3 linked regions of the Saccharomyces cerevisiae S288C genome follow. The gene in region 1 interacts genetically with each later gene. Each region holds a gene or a part of one and is shown in the gene's direction. Other genes may lie near its edges.

What was found. A genetic interaction does not mean that the proteins touch.
Region 2: mutations in SDS24 (region 1) and FRE8 together harm fitness more than expected from each alone (negative genetic interaction), as found in Saccharomyces cerevisiae (2 studies listed by BioGRID).
Region 3: mutations in SDS24 (region 1) and CTO1 together harm fitness more than expected from each alone (negative genetic interaction), as found in Saccharomyces cerevisiae (2 studies listed by BioGRID).

The regions. Positions count from the first base shown.
Region 1 is NC_001134.8:648,845-653,498, forward strand, and holds SDS24 (Sds24p), read left to right. Parts: upstream 1-2,570; coding exon 2,571-4,154; downstream 4,155-4,654. Other genes in the region: NGR1 (Ngr1p), read left to right, coding at 1-1,060; bifunctional precorrin-2 dehydrogenase/sirohydrochlorin ferrochelatase MET8, read left to right, coding at 1,524-2,348; HPC2 (Hpc2p), read left to right, coding at 4,512-4,524, 4,609-4,654. UniProt on the Saccharomyces cerevisiae protein: Involved in DNA replication and cell separation during budding.
Region 2 is NC_001144.5:238,229-243,729, reverse strand, and holds FRE8 (putative ferric-chelate reductase), read left to right. Parts: upstream 1-2,322; coding exon 2,323-4,383; downstream 4,384-5,501. Other genes in the region: 40S ribosomal protein uS2 RPS0B, read right to left, coding at 381-1,049, 1,409-1,498; YLR046C (uncharacterized protein), read left to right, coding at 4,917-5,501.
Region 3 is NC_001135.5:140,099-144,228, reverse strand, and holds CTO1 (Cto1p), read left to right. Parts: upstream 1-2,058; coding exon 2,059-3,012; downstream 3,013-4,130. Other genes in the region: RNA-binding ribosome assembly factor RBP95, read right to left, coding at 1-595; POL4 (DNA-directed DNA polymerase IV), read left to right, coding at 3,296-4,130. UniProt on the Saccharomyces cerevisiae protein: Protein required for cold tolerance. Plays a role in the regulation of phosphate uptake.

The DNA.
Region 1 (4,654 bases):
GCTTCCTCTCAATGCCTTGCATAACGCGCCTCCAATGCATTTGAATGAGGGCGGCATTTCAAACATGCGTGTAAATGATTCACTACCTTCAAACACCTATAATACAGACCCCACTAATACTACTGTTTTTGTGGGAGGACTGGTACCAAAAACTACCGAATTTCAATTACGTTCACTATTCAAACCCTTTGGACCCATTCTAAATGTCAGGATTCCCAATGGTAAAAACTGTGGGTTTGTTAAATTCGAGAAGAGGATTGATGCTGAAGCTTCAATACAAGGCCTGCAAGGCTTTATTGTGGGCGGCAGTCCAATAAGATTATCATGGGGACGCCCATCCAGTTCAAATGCTAAAACAAATTCGACCATCATGGGGGCAAGCCAATATATGTCCTCAAATGGCCTGAGAGCGCCATCTGCGGCTTCTTCAGTCGATAACTCCAAACAAATTCTTGAACAATATGCGGAAGATAAAAGGCGACTCTTTTTACATCAGCAGCAGCAGCAGCAGCAGCAGCAGCAACAGGATGGTAACTTTTCTATGGAGCAAATGGCGCACAACAACTATTACAACTACAATAATTACGATTATCACAGGAACAAGAATGGCAGCCATAGCGACCTCGTTAATCTGCAGAGATCTAATGTCCCGTATATGCAAGAAGACGGTGCACTGTACCCACACCAATATTCAAGTCCCTCATACTCGCTCCATCCGACGGGCAACCAATTCTCCAATGCTACTAATAACTTACCTCAATTTGGGAACGCGATGTCAATTTCTATGCAACTGCCCAATGGCAACAGCAATAAAACGGCCTCAAGCATGAACACAAACCCTAACACAAACATGATCATGAATTCTAACATGAACATGAACATGAACGTAAATCCAGTACCATACGGAATGGGAAACGGTGCAAATATGTATGACGTGTCCAGGATGATGACTCCTCCCTTAAATATAGCCCCGAATTCCAATAATTCGAAATCGAGCATCATGAACAAGCATCCTAATAGGAACAATGTTCCGCCAATTCATCCTTCTCTTCTACATTGATTACAAAAGACAAAAAAAGAAAATTTTAATCTTGTCCGCAGTTTTATCTGCGTCTCTACGTTCTTACGTTTCTTCTATTAATGCCATTTCAGTTACAACCTAGTCAATTGTCGATCCATAATTCTAATCAAATTTGTTTTTCCTCTATACTACCTATCTATTTTTATCTATCTAAGTACATTTATTTACTCAAACAGTTCCGTTTCAAAGTGTTTTATATTAACTATATATGCGAAAAGCTGGCGTCATAATTTCACGTGTTATAATAGCCATGCTGACGGAAAAAAAATGTGAAAATCGCTACAAAGTCCGATGACTACGGGCAGTAGCATGTAAATGATGGACACACACACACACATATATATATATATACATTTACTTCAATAAAAGGCTGTGCCAGACATTTTTGCCATACATTGTTCATGAAGTGTGCAAAATAAGAGAGTGTATAATAGGATAAAAAATGGTCAAATCGCTACAGCTAGCCCATCAATTAAAAGACAAGAAAATACTACTAATCGGAGGCGGAGAAGTCGGCTTGACAAGGTTATATAAGCTGATACCTACAGGTTGCAAGCTGACTTTAGTATCTCCTGACCTACACAAATCCATTATTCCGAAGTTTGGAAAATTCATCCAGAACGAGGATCAGCCCGACTACAGAGAAGACGCTAAACGCTTTATCAATCCGAACTGGGACCCCACGAAGAATGAAATTTACGAGTACATCCGCAGTGACTTCAAAGACGAATACCTCGACCTAGAAGACGAGAACGACGCGTGGTACATAATAATGACCTGTATACCCGACCACCCTGAAAGCGCAAGAATATATCACCTTTGTAAGGAAAGATTCGGTAAGCAGCAGCTGGTCAATGTGGCGGACAAACCTGATCTCTGTGACTTTTATTTCGGCGCCAACCTGGAGATAGGAGACCGTCTACAGATTCTGATCTCTACCAACGGCCTTTCTCCGCGCTTTGGCGCTCTAGTAAGAGATGAGATCCGTAACTTATTCACACAAATGGGGGATCTGGCGCTGGAGGACGCTGTCGTCAAACTAGGTGAGCTGAGAAGAGGAATTAGGCTGCTGGCACCAGACGACAAGGATGTCAAGTACCGCATGGATTGGGCCAGACGCTGCACAGACCTCTTCGGCATTCAGCACTGCCACAACATCGACGTAAAACGTCTGCTGGATCTTTTCAAGGTCATGTTTCAAGAACAGAACTGTTCCTTGCAGTTCCCTCCCAGAGAACGGTTGCTTAGCGAGTACTGCTCGTCTTGAGCGACAGGGCCTCCTCTTTTAAGGGGCGCGTCCTTTCTATTGTGTAGAGAAAATCTACTGGGATTTTGTATATATTTCGCATATATAGGGGTTGGAGAACGAACAACAATGCCTGTTCAGATCAACTTTTCTTCTATCTTATCAGGCAAGATCAGGCACACAACCCAACTATAATAACTATAAACACTTATAGAACAATTACCGTTTCTTCCTTCACACAACATGGCTTCTACTTCGAACACGTTCCCTCCAAGCCAAAGCAATTCTTCCAACAACCTTCCAACTTCTAGACATGCATCCATTGTGGAGATGCTGTCTACTCCGCCATTGCTGCCCCACGTTCAAGTGAACGATACAGACGACAAGGAACAACCAGAAGAGTCCACGCCGCCAACAGCAACAGCGGCAGCGCCTGGTCCAGGTTGTGCTGCTACACCCGCCCCCTTGCGCGATGAAAAGCCTCAATTCAAACTATCAGCTGTTCCTATGACCCAGACGCCATCGCAGTGTCTGTCATGTGTGCACGCCCAAAAATGGCAACACATACCGTTGTCGCAATTGATCGAACAGAATAAGCTTATTTTTGTTCCAGGTTCCATATCGGTAGAGGAGGCATTCAACACTTTGATCAAGTATCATCTAAACTCTATTCCCGTGGAATCTTTCCCCGGCGACATGAACTGTTTTACTTTCGACTACAATGACCTTAATTCGTACCTTTTGCTGGTTTTGAATAAAATCACCGTCAGCAACAAACAGCTTACTGCAGATTGCCAGAATGGAAAACCCGTACCAGTGGGCGAAATGGTGAAACTAACTCCTAAGAATCCGTTCTATAAGCTGCCGGAGAATGAGAGTTTGTCCACGGTGATGGGGATTCTCGGTTCGGGTGTCCATCGTGTAGCGATAACAAACGAAGAGATGACCAAAGTTAAAGGTATTTTGTCCCAACGTCGTTTGATAAAGTATCTTTGGGACAACGCTAGATCTTTTACAAGCTTAGAACCTCTATTAAACTCCTCATTACAAGATTTGCACATCGGTGTTCTCAATATTCAATCTAAGCCAACTTCAAGACAATCCCGTGTCATCTCTATTCAAGGCGAGGAGCCCTTAATCATGGGCCTTTATAAAATGCATGTGGAAAGAATTTCTTCCATTGCAGTCATCGACAAACAAGGTAATTTGCTAGGTAACATATCGGTAACGGACGTAAAACATGTCACAAGAACCTCCCAATACCCCTTACTACATAAGACATGTCGCCATTTCATTTCTGTCATTTTAAACTCCAGAGGATTAGAAACGGGTAAAGATTCTTTCCCCATTTTTCACGTATACCCCAGTAGTTCACTAGCAAGGACTCTTGCCAAGTTAGTTGCTACAAAGTCTCATAGACTATGGATCGTACAACCGCCGGAGTCGTCAACCTCGGCGTCATCCACAAATTTAACAGCTGCTAATACTGCAGCCAATGCAGTTTCTGCCACCGCTCAATCGTCTGCTAATGGTGCGACTCCAATGTCAAAGTCATCCTCTTCAACATCCCTCAACTCCCACTCTCCGTTGATGACAGCAATGGAAGACCCACCATCCCCACGTTCTTCGGCCATCGCGATCCCACCACCAAGTCCCGCTTCCTCAACAAACACACCAAACCTATTCGAAAAGGAATATAGAACGGGTAAGTTGATCGGTGTGGTCTCATTGACAGACATCATCAACTTATTAGCAAGGAAACAAACAGGGAATAAAGAAGTGGATCCGCAATCCGCAAGAAGACAGAGAGGCAGTATCGCCATGTGAGGCTTGCAGCGTTGTCTTTTCCCGCTGTTTCCCTCTCCCTCAAAAAAAAAAATCTTTTACAATGACTAAAAGAAAATATTGTTCATTTATATGGTTTTAAGTATTTTGTAGACATTTAAGCGTATATACTTGTTCTGAAAACATTTATATATTCTATTTTGTATATTCAACTTATTAAACTCTGACTTTTGCTATTGTCGCGTATATGTATATCTTTTTTTCTTGTCGTGGAAAATTAAAGCAAAATATGTCAGGCGAATGTACACACAATGCAGAAACTGATGCGGTTAATTTTGCATTCTGAAACGATTTAAACGAACAGCATTAACCTCCACGACCATATTCAAACGATTGGAAATGGACCAAAAAGGTATGTTCTGGCTTTATTTTCAATTATCCGCCCTTCGTTAGGGGTGTTTTAGATCATTTTGATTAACAATTCTATTTATGATAGCAATTGTCCTTGATAACTCTAAAAGTGGTAGTAAACAGACAAAATC
Region 2 (5,501 bases), on another chromosome or scaffold:
TTTAACTTATCTTCAATACTATAGATAGTCAGCCTTCCCGCTAAAGAATTTAATTATTGAAACCACTTACCTAATAAAAAAAAAAGCGTAATAATGGCCAAATGACTTGAATATAAAAGGACAAAAGCATAAACTTTTAAAATATTATAATTTTTGAATTTGGTTAAAAATTTTTATACTATGATTGCATTAAAAATACAGATAGATGATGACGCTTCAGAGAGAAGCAAATATATATGAGATAAAGATAAACGATAGATGAATTTAAAAAAAAAATGAAAAAGAAAAATTAGAAAAGGAAGTGATACTTCTGTCTCTTTTTTTATCTCTCTTTCTCAATTCCTTACAATATTCACACACATTGCAAGGTTTTCAAATGATTACCATTCAACGTTGTCTGCATTTTCTTCAGCCCATTCAGTAGCTTCAGCTTGACCTTCAGTGACTTCTTCCTTAACTTCTTCTTCTTCACCTTCTTCAGCGGCAGCAGCTTCTTCAGCAACTTGCTCAACTTCTTCTGGGTTTCTGTAGAAGTACAAATCTGGCATGATGGACCATGGTTGAGTTCTGTCGACCAAAGCACCTCTTAGTCTCAAAACTTCTCTAGCCAACAAGTACCAGATTAAACCGATGGAGTGCTTACCTCTGTTGTTACATGGGATGGCGACATCAACAAATTCAGATGGGGAGTCCAAATCAGTCAAAGCAATGACTGGAATGTTAACGTAAGAAGCTTCCTTAATGGCCTGAGCGTCTAATCTTGGGTCGGTAACAATAACCAATCTTGGTTCCTTGAAAGAACGGGTGATGTAATTAGTGAAAGAACCTGGAGTGAATCTACCGGCGATTGGAGTAGCACCAGTGTGAGCAGCAAATTTCAAGACAGCTCTTTGACCGTAGGTTCTGGAAGAGATGGCAACAACATCTTCTGGGTTTGGAATGGCAGCAATAATTCTAGCAGCCAAAACCAACTTTTCCCAGGTCTTACCAACATTGATAACGTGAACACCATCTGGTCTAGCATTGAAAACGTATGGTTCTTGGTGGACCTAAAAAAAGAGAGGAAAGATAAATTATGTTAGTAAGAGCGTTCATTTGTGCATATATAATGTTTTCTTCCATATCCAATAAAGTACCGAATTATATCCCGTGGAATTTTTTGACGTTTTACTGTTTCATCGGAGTTCATAATCTTTGACACAGTCGAGGATGTATATTCTTATTGAGTTTCTTCTCCTTACCCTCACTAAGAAGTGAAATTCTAACTCTTCTAAACCCGGCGTGTTCAAAATTCCTCTGAAATTACCTTTGGTCCTCTGACCTCCAAATATGATTAAATCGGGGACATATTCTTTTCGAGACCTATTATCATCTATAGAACATAATCGTATGGGATATGTGTACATACTTGAACGTTTCTAGCACCTAAATGGGTGTTAGCGGCCAACAAAAGTTGGGCATCCTCTGGAGTCAAATCAAAAGTAGCTGGTAAAGACATTATCCTATCAGTATCTTATCTTATCTCTTCTTGTGCTATTTCGGTATTCTAAATTACACACTTAATAACTCGCGATTTTTCAATACGAGGATTCAAACTTGATCATATTATTTTTACAGGAACTAGAGAAGGTGATGTTCCCTACCACGAACCTTCTTACTGAGTGTTGCAGTCCTTCCATTCCATCTTTCCAGCTCCTCCCGCGTCCGTCAACCTCCAGCGGGACCCTCGTTCGAAACAGCACAAAGGTTCGGTGACCGTGCCCTGGAACTTCCGCCTAGCGCACTCAATTTCGCCTTGGTAAATTTTTCAAAGTAGGCGGAAAATTAAAGTAGCGCCATTCCCATAAAGAAGTGACAAAGGCCTTTAAGAAATAGGTAAAATTGTCATGAATGCATGGGTTTACATTTTATATGTACGGATGTAAAAAGGGAAATATTAAAAGTGTTGAAAACGTAATGCCCAAGCTCTTTTTTGTTATTGAAAAAGAAAAAGGGTGCAAATAACATGTATGAACTACGCATGGCAGCCATTATGCATGTAAAATAAGTAATAAAATTTAAGTTTAGGGTAAAAACGTTTGGTGGTATCCGTTATGGAAGATTAACACTCTGTACAGCCTCAATTTCTTTTTTATTTCCCTTCAAATTTAGGTGGAAAAAGAAAAAGCTAGTGTTGATCTCTTATTTTTGCCAAGCTTTTAATTATCACGTTGCCACTTTAACAGTTTTATTACATCTACATCTCTTCAGATTAAATCGTTAAATTACAATAGAAGTTCCGCTAAAAAAGTTTACTGTATTTTATTTATTGTTATTTTCAGCATGAATTTAAAGTCCATCGTTAGCTGGTTCAAGGAACATCTTCCCAGTTTTGATGTCGACGTGGACAAGCATTTTAGAACTTTAAGAGTCCGCAAATATTCTCAGATATGTCTTTTAATTTCTTTCATTATAATATGTGTTATTATACCCTTAATGAATTATTTGTTGCTAACTGACAAATTCTTCAAAATATGTCACCATTTAAAGCATCATGTTTTCAACAGAAGATCATGGGTTCACAAAACACATATGTATCACAAACAGTCACTACAACTATGTTTAATATGCTTTGTTTTCACCTCGTTTTTTGTTATACAAGGCGCTAACGGAGATCTGTTAGAAATTACTAAGCGAATGGGGAGAATTTCCGTTGCTTTGATGCCACCTTTACTATTTCTAACGTTGAGGCCATCACCGTTACCTCACACGTTATACTTAGCATTGTTACCTCTCCACAAATGGATTTCCAGAATTGTTGTGCTTGAATCTATTCTACACACGTGGTTCTATCTCTATTACATGTACATTAATGATACGTTATACGTGAAAATGAGAAAACTACCCAACATTTATGGGGTTATTGCCCTCGGCCTTTTCCTACTGATTGCCATCACCTCTGTGAGATATGCCAGACGATGGAGCTACAGAGTTTTTTACTATGTTCACTATGTAAGCACATGGCTTATTTTGGTGTTTCTACATTATCACGCTCGCCCAGGAATTTCATATTATACCACTTTAAATGTGCTCATATTAACGGGACAAATCGTCTATAGGCTCCATATCACCAATGTTACGAGAGTTACGATAGTACCCATTTCTTCATCATTGTCTCTTTTGGAGTTCCCATTAACCGATTTACCCAAAAAGCCCATCCTACCAGGAGGGCATCTAAGGATCAACATTTACCATAGAAATTTTTTAAGGAGGTTTTTCTCCCATTTGATACCCTTCCAACATCCTTTTACTATTGCTAGTATTCCAAGTGATAATTTGGTCAGGTTAATTATTAGAAACGGGCATTTTCCATTGCGTACAAATGAAAAGTATTACATTACAGGGGCTTTTGAACCTGAGTTGAGTTTCATTTCTAAACCTACTGTTCCTTTTAATATTACCACGAAATCTTCCAAGAATCCATTTCGAAACAATTCTTCTGCACTAATAAATTCGCCTTTAAATTTTCTAATTAAAGCGCAAAGAGTGTTTATGTGTGTTGGAGGTTCAGGAATTTCCTTTGGCTTACCACTACTTCGTATTCTAAACTTCAACGGTGTAAACGTTAGGCTCCTTTGGGTTTCTAGAGATTATAAGGATCTGGAAGTATTGAACCACTTCAAAAACAATTTTGAAGGTATGGAGATATATATTAGTGGCACCGAAGGCAACGAACAGGACATAGAAATTGATTATATTGACTATCATGACTGCGCTGCTGATATTAATGATGAAGTCAGGAGTATTTCTTCGAGCGGCCGAGTTTCAGAACTGGGAGATAATTCCATGTTATCAGATGGAAATCCCCAACCTACGGAGCCCAATGAGAACACAGCCCTTCTAAGTAAGAAATCTACCTTGAGAAACCATCACCCACCAAAAACAAGTGATATACCTGACATCAATGCTGATGACGAGATAGATTTTACATATGCTTTTAGCAGATCCAAATCAAGGAAAAATACTGCACAAGGAACTCTAACTACACATTCTTCGTTTAACGGATCGAGCGTTTTCAGACAACCAAAGATCATTGAGCCACCTGCCCAAGATCCTTGTTTAGAGGCGGCGCCTAAAAAGATCAGAATTCCCGCAGGTGTTAAAGTGTTCTTTGGCAGGCCTACACTTGGAGATAAGGATTATGAATGGTGTCTGCAAACCGAATGTGATGCAGAGACGGATTCTATTCAATGTTGCAGGTGGGCGAATCAAGGCAGAGACCATGCTGAATATTTGTCACAAGTATGGGTTCTCGCTGCAGGCCCTAGAGGCTTAATTGAAAGCACCAAAAGATGGGCGACAGATGGTGGTTTACACTTTCACGGAGAAAGTTTTGCATTATAAGAGTTGCAAGTTGGCTATTAGTTTATGAGGCTTGGAAAATTCACGTATTTGATGGTGGCATATCTATAATGTCCCGTTTTGCTCTTTAATCTTACTGTCAAAAAAGGGCCCTATGTACGATCTTTTCTAACTGATTTTTTCCGAGAAAAGTTCCGCAGGCTGATTTAGTTTTTTTCTGGTGGTTGTCAAGCCTCTCTCCACTTGGTGATAGTTGCGAAAAATGACAGCGGATATTAATGGATATTAGCGGGAATAAGCACATTTCCATATTGATTATTTGTATGTCTAGCAACTTATAAGATGAATTATAAAAGGCATATAAGTTCTTCTTGGTACTGAATACATGACACTCTCACTACTGTACTAGAGACTTATTGTCGATAAAAGAACTCAACTGCCTCAATAGGAATTTTTTTACTAAAGCAATCACTGATTATGAAGGTTTTTATGCATACAATCCTCACAAAGGTGCAGCGATTGCATTTGTCGTTCTGTTTGGCATTTTAATCCTTTCTGCCTTGGTGCAGATCATAATGGCAACACACACGAGCAAGAGACGTATTCATCGCTGGGAAAACAATGAGTTGTCAGAGGAAAATTCCACAATAATATACTTTCCTGCCCGCGGTTTGATGTGGACACATTTTCCTTTCGTTTTAGGGATTTGTTTAGAGTTCGTGGGTTATGTGTTGAAAATAGTCTTTATCAATAGCCCCTCGATTTCGACTTTCATTGCTCAATCGGTGCTTCTATTGATAGCACCTTCACTTTACGCCCTTAGTATTTTTATGTTGTTCAGCAAAATGGCACGTCTAATTCTTATGGAGGCATATATGTTAATTCCTGCGAAATTTAGTACAGTTTCTTTCGTAGTGGCAGATATGATTGGGCGTGTCCTACAGGCTGTAGGAGGTGGGTTGTTATCCTCATGGAACAGCAGGAATACTGGGCGTATCCTAATTATTGTGGGTCTTTTCATTCAGATATTTTGTTATACCTTTTTAACGTTCAGTCAACTTTTTCTTCACTATAAAATGAAGGCAACGCCTAGTAAAATTGTGCGGGATAGTAATGAATGGTTCCAGTACAATTTTATACTTTTAGCTGGGATATTGCTG
Region 3 (4,130 bases), on another chromosome or scaffold:
GTTTTCCTTTGCATTTTGATATTAGTTCTTCTTTTGATTTACCTTGTAAGTCCCTGAAATATAAAAGCAAAAGATCATTATATACTGAGGGGATTTCGTCCAAGTTGAAAAAATGCTTAATAAGCCAATTTTGCTTTTGCTTGGAAAATTTCCAAACTTCAACAACACCAGACTCTGATGGCTCGTCTTTGATCAGGGAGTCGCCGTAATTTTCTTTTACACTTTCCAATTCTAGGATTCCGGTGGGAAACTTGCTCTCAGACTTTGTCCTGAAAAATTCTATCAGGTAACGTAATTGATCTTTAAGAATTTTATTTTTTTTCGAATTCTTTTCATCCTTTGACAATTTTTCCTTCTTCTTCGTCCCTGGTTTCGACACACGCTTCCCTTTTTTGGTAGAGGATTTGCTCTCACCATTAATGATTCTTTTTTTCTCTTTCTTTGTCAAATTACCAGTGGATAAATGCGTAGTGATATTTAGTGGATCATCATCTATTAGATTGGATTGGCCTTTTTCTTTACTTTCGTCACCACTGCTTATAGTCTGTCTCTTCAAAGCAATTCTTTTCCAGGCAGGAACGTGATTTTCGGACATTTAATTGTGAAGTGAATGTTTCTTCTGCTTGTAATTTGTCGATAAAGAAAGCACTTATGACAGTACTTTGATATTTGAATTTAGCTCATCTCTTTTCGTTCCTTTTTCTCGCTCGAAAATTTTCAATAATTTGCAGTAAAAAGGCGATGCCAGTAAAAAACTACCTGCAAAGGGAGCGTTAGACATATCTTTTATTGGCGACAAATATTTTTAGCGATATATATCCGTAAAGATCTGGCGATATTCTTTATCACTCGATGATAATAAATTCTTTTACACTTTGCTATTTTCCATGAGAACGGTTGGTATTCCTGTTCCCAATAACAAAAGCGTTTGCATATTTTTATGGTGAAGGTACTATCAACTGTAAAGTATGTACAATAGATTTATTAAAGGGAAACACTTTTCGTAGTAAGAAAAGCAGGTTTATAATTCAATTGTTTTAAAGCTGAATAATGCCGTGGTGTTAAACTACGACCGAGCTATAGCAACAGCATCGGCCACACACTCTCTCTTATTCTTATGTTAATAGTCGACCTTTCAAGGATGTTCTTGTTGGAATAGAAATCCACTATCGTCTATCAACTAATAGTTATATTATCAATATATTATCATATACGGTGTTAAGATGATGACATAAGTTATGAGAAGCTGTCATCGAAGTTAGAGGAAGCTGAAGTGCAAGGATTGATAATGTAATAGGATAATGAAACATATAAAATAGAAGAAGGGATAATCGTAATATTAGTATGTAGAAATATGGATTCCATTTTGAGGATTCCTCTATCCTTGAAGAGAACTCCTAGTATATTCCGTATACATAATATTGTTGCTTTTCTCGAATCATGTATCAAGATTACTAGCGCAAGTGGTTTAGTGGTAAAATCCAACGTTGCCATCGTTGGGCCCCCGGTTCGATTCCGGGCTTGCGCATCTTTTTTACTTTATATACTATTTTTTTTTTTTTTCTTTTTCCCAAATTTTTTCATGAAAAATTTGGCGGAACGGTACATAAGAATAGAAGAGATTCGTTATGAAAATTTTCTACTCTCTTTCACATTTTTTTTTTCATAAGAATTAAAAAAATAAGCTTAATGCCCTCTTTGTACGATGGTGTCACTCTAAAATTATTTACGTAATTTAATTGGATGTGATATCAAGCACTAGTTTTGTTTGGAGGAGCAGAGATTGAAAGCCTAGCTTTTACACCGGTTTGAGTCGGTTCCTTCGTTTTCTTAGTTGGAATTGATATAGAAGTGTGTGGACAATCGATTTGCAAAACTTTTTATTTTATGTATTACTACTGAGCTTGTTTATCTGTATACTTTTTTCTTATTATTATGTAGTTAGAGGTTAGTTCTTATCGTTTTCTTTAAAAGCGACCTTTCTTCGCACAAAGCAATGTTGACAATCGAGCCAATGCATTTAACAATTGCAGTAACCAGAAGCGAACAGTGGAGGATATGAAAACCATTATTATTTCAGATTTTGATGAAACAATCACAAGAGTTGACACAATCTGCACCATTGCTAAATTACCGTATCTACTGAACCCGCGGTTGAAACCTGAGTGGGGTCATTTTACCAAGACATATATGGACGGATACCATAAATACAAATACAATGGAACGAGATCACTGCCGTTGTTATCTTCAGGCGTACCTACGATAATTTCGCAGTCTAACTTCAATAAGTTGTTTGCGGACGAATTAAAATATCAAAATCATAACAGGGTTGTTGAGTTAAATAGTGTAAATGAAATTACAAAACAACAGATTTTTAAGTCGATTTCTTTGGATCAAATGAAAACGTTCGCCAGAGATCAGAATCACGAAGATTGTTTACTAAGAGATGGTTTCAAAACGTTTTGCTCTTCAGTTGTCAAAAATTTTGAAAGTGATTTTTACGTTTTATCTATAAATTGGTCAAAAGAGTTTATTCATGAAGTCATTGGTGACAGAAGACTTAAAAATAGTCATATTTTTTGTAACGATCTAAAAAAAGTTAGTGACAAGTGTTCTCAAAGCTACAATGGTGAATTTGATTGTCGGTTATTGACAGGCTCTGATAAGGTCAAGATACTGGGTGAAATATTAGATAAGATCGACTCAGGTTGCAATAAAGAAGGAAATTCTTGCAGCTATTGGTATATAGGGGATAGTGAGACTGACTTGTTGTCCATATTACATCCATCTACTAATGGTGTACTGCTAATAAACCCGCAAGAAAATCCTTCCAAATTCATAAAAATTACCGAAAAGATTATTGGTATCCCAAAGGATAAAATCTCGAGTTTTGAAGCTGATAATGGTCCAGCGTGGTTACAGTTTTGTGAAAAGGAAGGCGGTAAAGGTGCCTACCTTGTGAAATCCTGGGACTCTTTAAAAGATTTGATCATGCAGGTAACAAAAATGTAGAAACGGATGAAATCCTGTATATTCAAATTTATATAACCAGGACGTTGCAGTGCTAATAATAATGGAATACCGCTAATTTTCCTCCTGTTTTTTCTTTTTTAAGTAAAGATAAAATAGTATTTCACTTGCACTATTCTTCTATCTCCGTAATCGGTCTCGGTCTAAAATTACTTTGAGATGTTCAAATACATGGGGCTAATAATTTTAAGGGCTTGCAAAGAACTTATATGTCACAGTGATAATAAGTAAAGGATAAACATGCGACCTGTTAGACAAATCGCACATGTCTCTAAAGGGTAAATTTTTCGCCTTTTTACCTAATCCTAACACATCTTCCAATAAGTTCTTTAAGAGTATATTGGAGAAAAAGGGCGCCACAATTGTGTCAAGTATTCAAAATTGTCTTCAATCTAGCCGTAAGGAAGTGGTCATTTTGATTGAGGACTCCTTTGTTGATTCTGATATGCATTTGACTCAGAAAGATATTTTCCAAAGGGAAGCAGGCTTAAATGATGTCGATGAATTTCTTGGTAAGATTGAACAGTCAGGCATTCAATGTGTGAAAACCAGTTGCATCACAAAGTGGGTCCAGAATGATAAATTTGCGTTTCAAAAAGATGATTTGATTAAATTTCAACCATCCATTATCGTTATATCAGATAACGCTGATGACGGACAAAGTTCTACTGATAAAGAGAGTGAGATTTCAACTGACGTAGAAAGTGAAAGGAATGATGACAGCAACAATAAAGATATGATACAAGCTTCAAAACCTCTTAAGCGACTCTTACAGGGGGATAAAGGAAGAGCTTCCCTTGTTACTGACAAAACGAAGTACAAAAACAATGAATTGATTATCGGAGCGTTGAAAAGGTTAACAAAAAAATATGAGATCGAAGGTGAGAAATTTCGTGCAAGAAGTTATAGACTGGCTAAACAGTCGATGGAAAATTGCGATTTCAATGTTCGTTCCGGTGAAGAAGCACATACTAAATTAAGGAATATCGGGCCTAGTATTGCCAAAAAAATACAAGTTATATTAGATACGGGAGTTTTACCAGGTTTAAATGATTCAGTGGGATTAGAAGACAAGTTGAAATACTTCAAAAATTGTTACG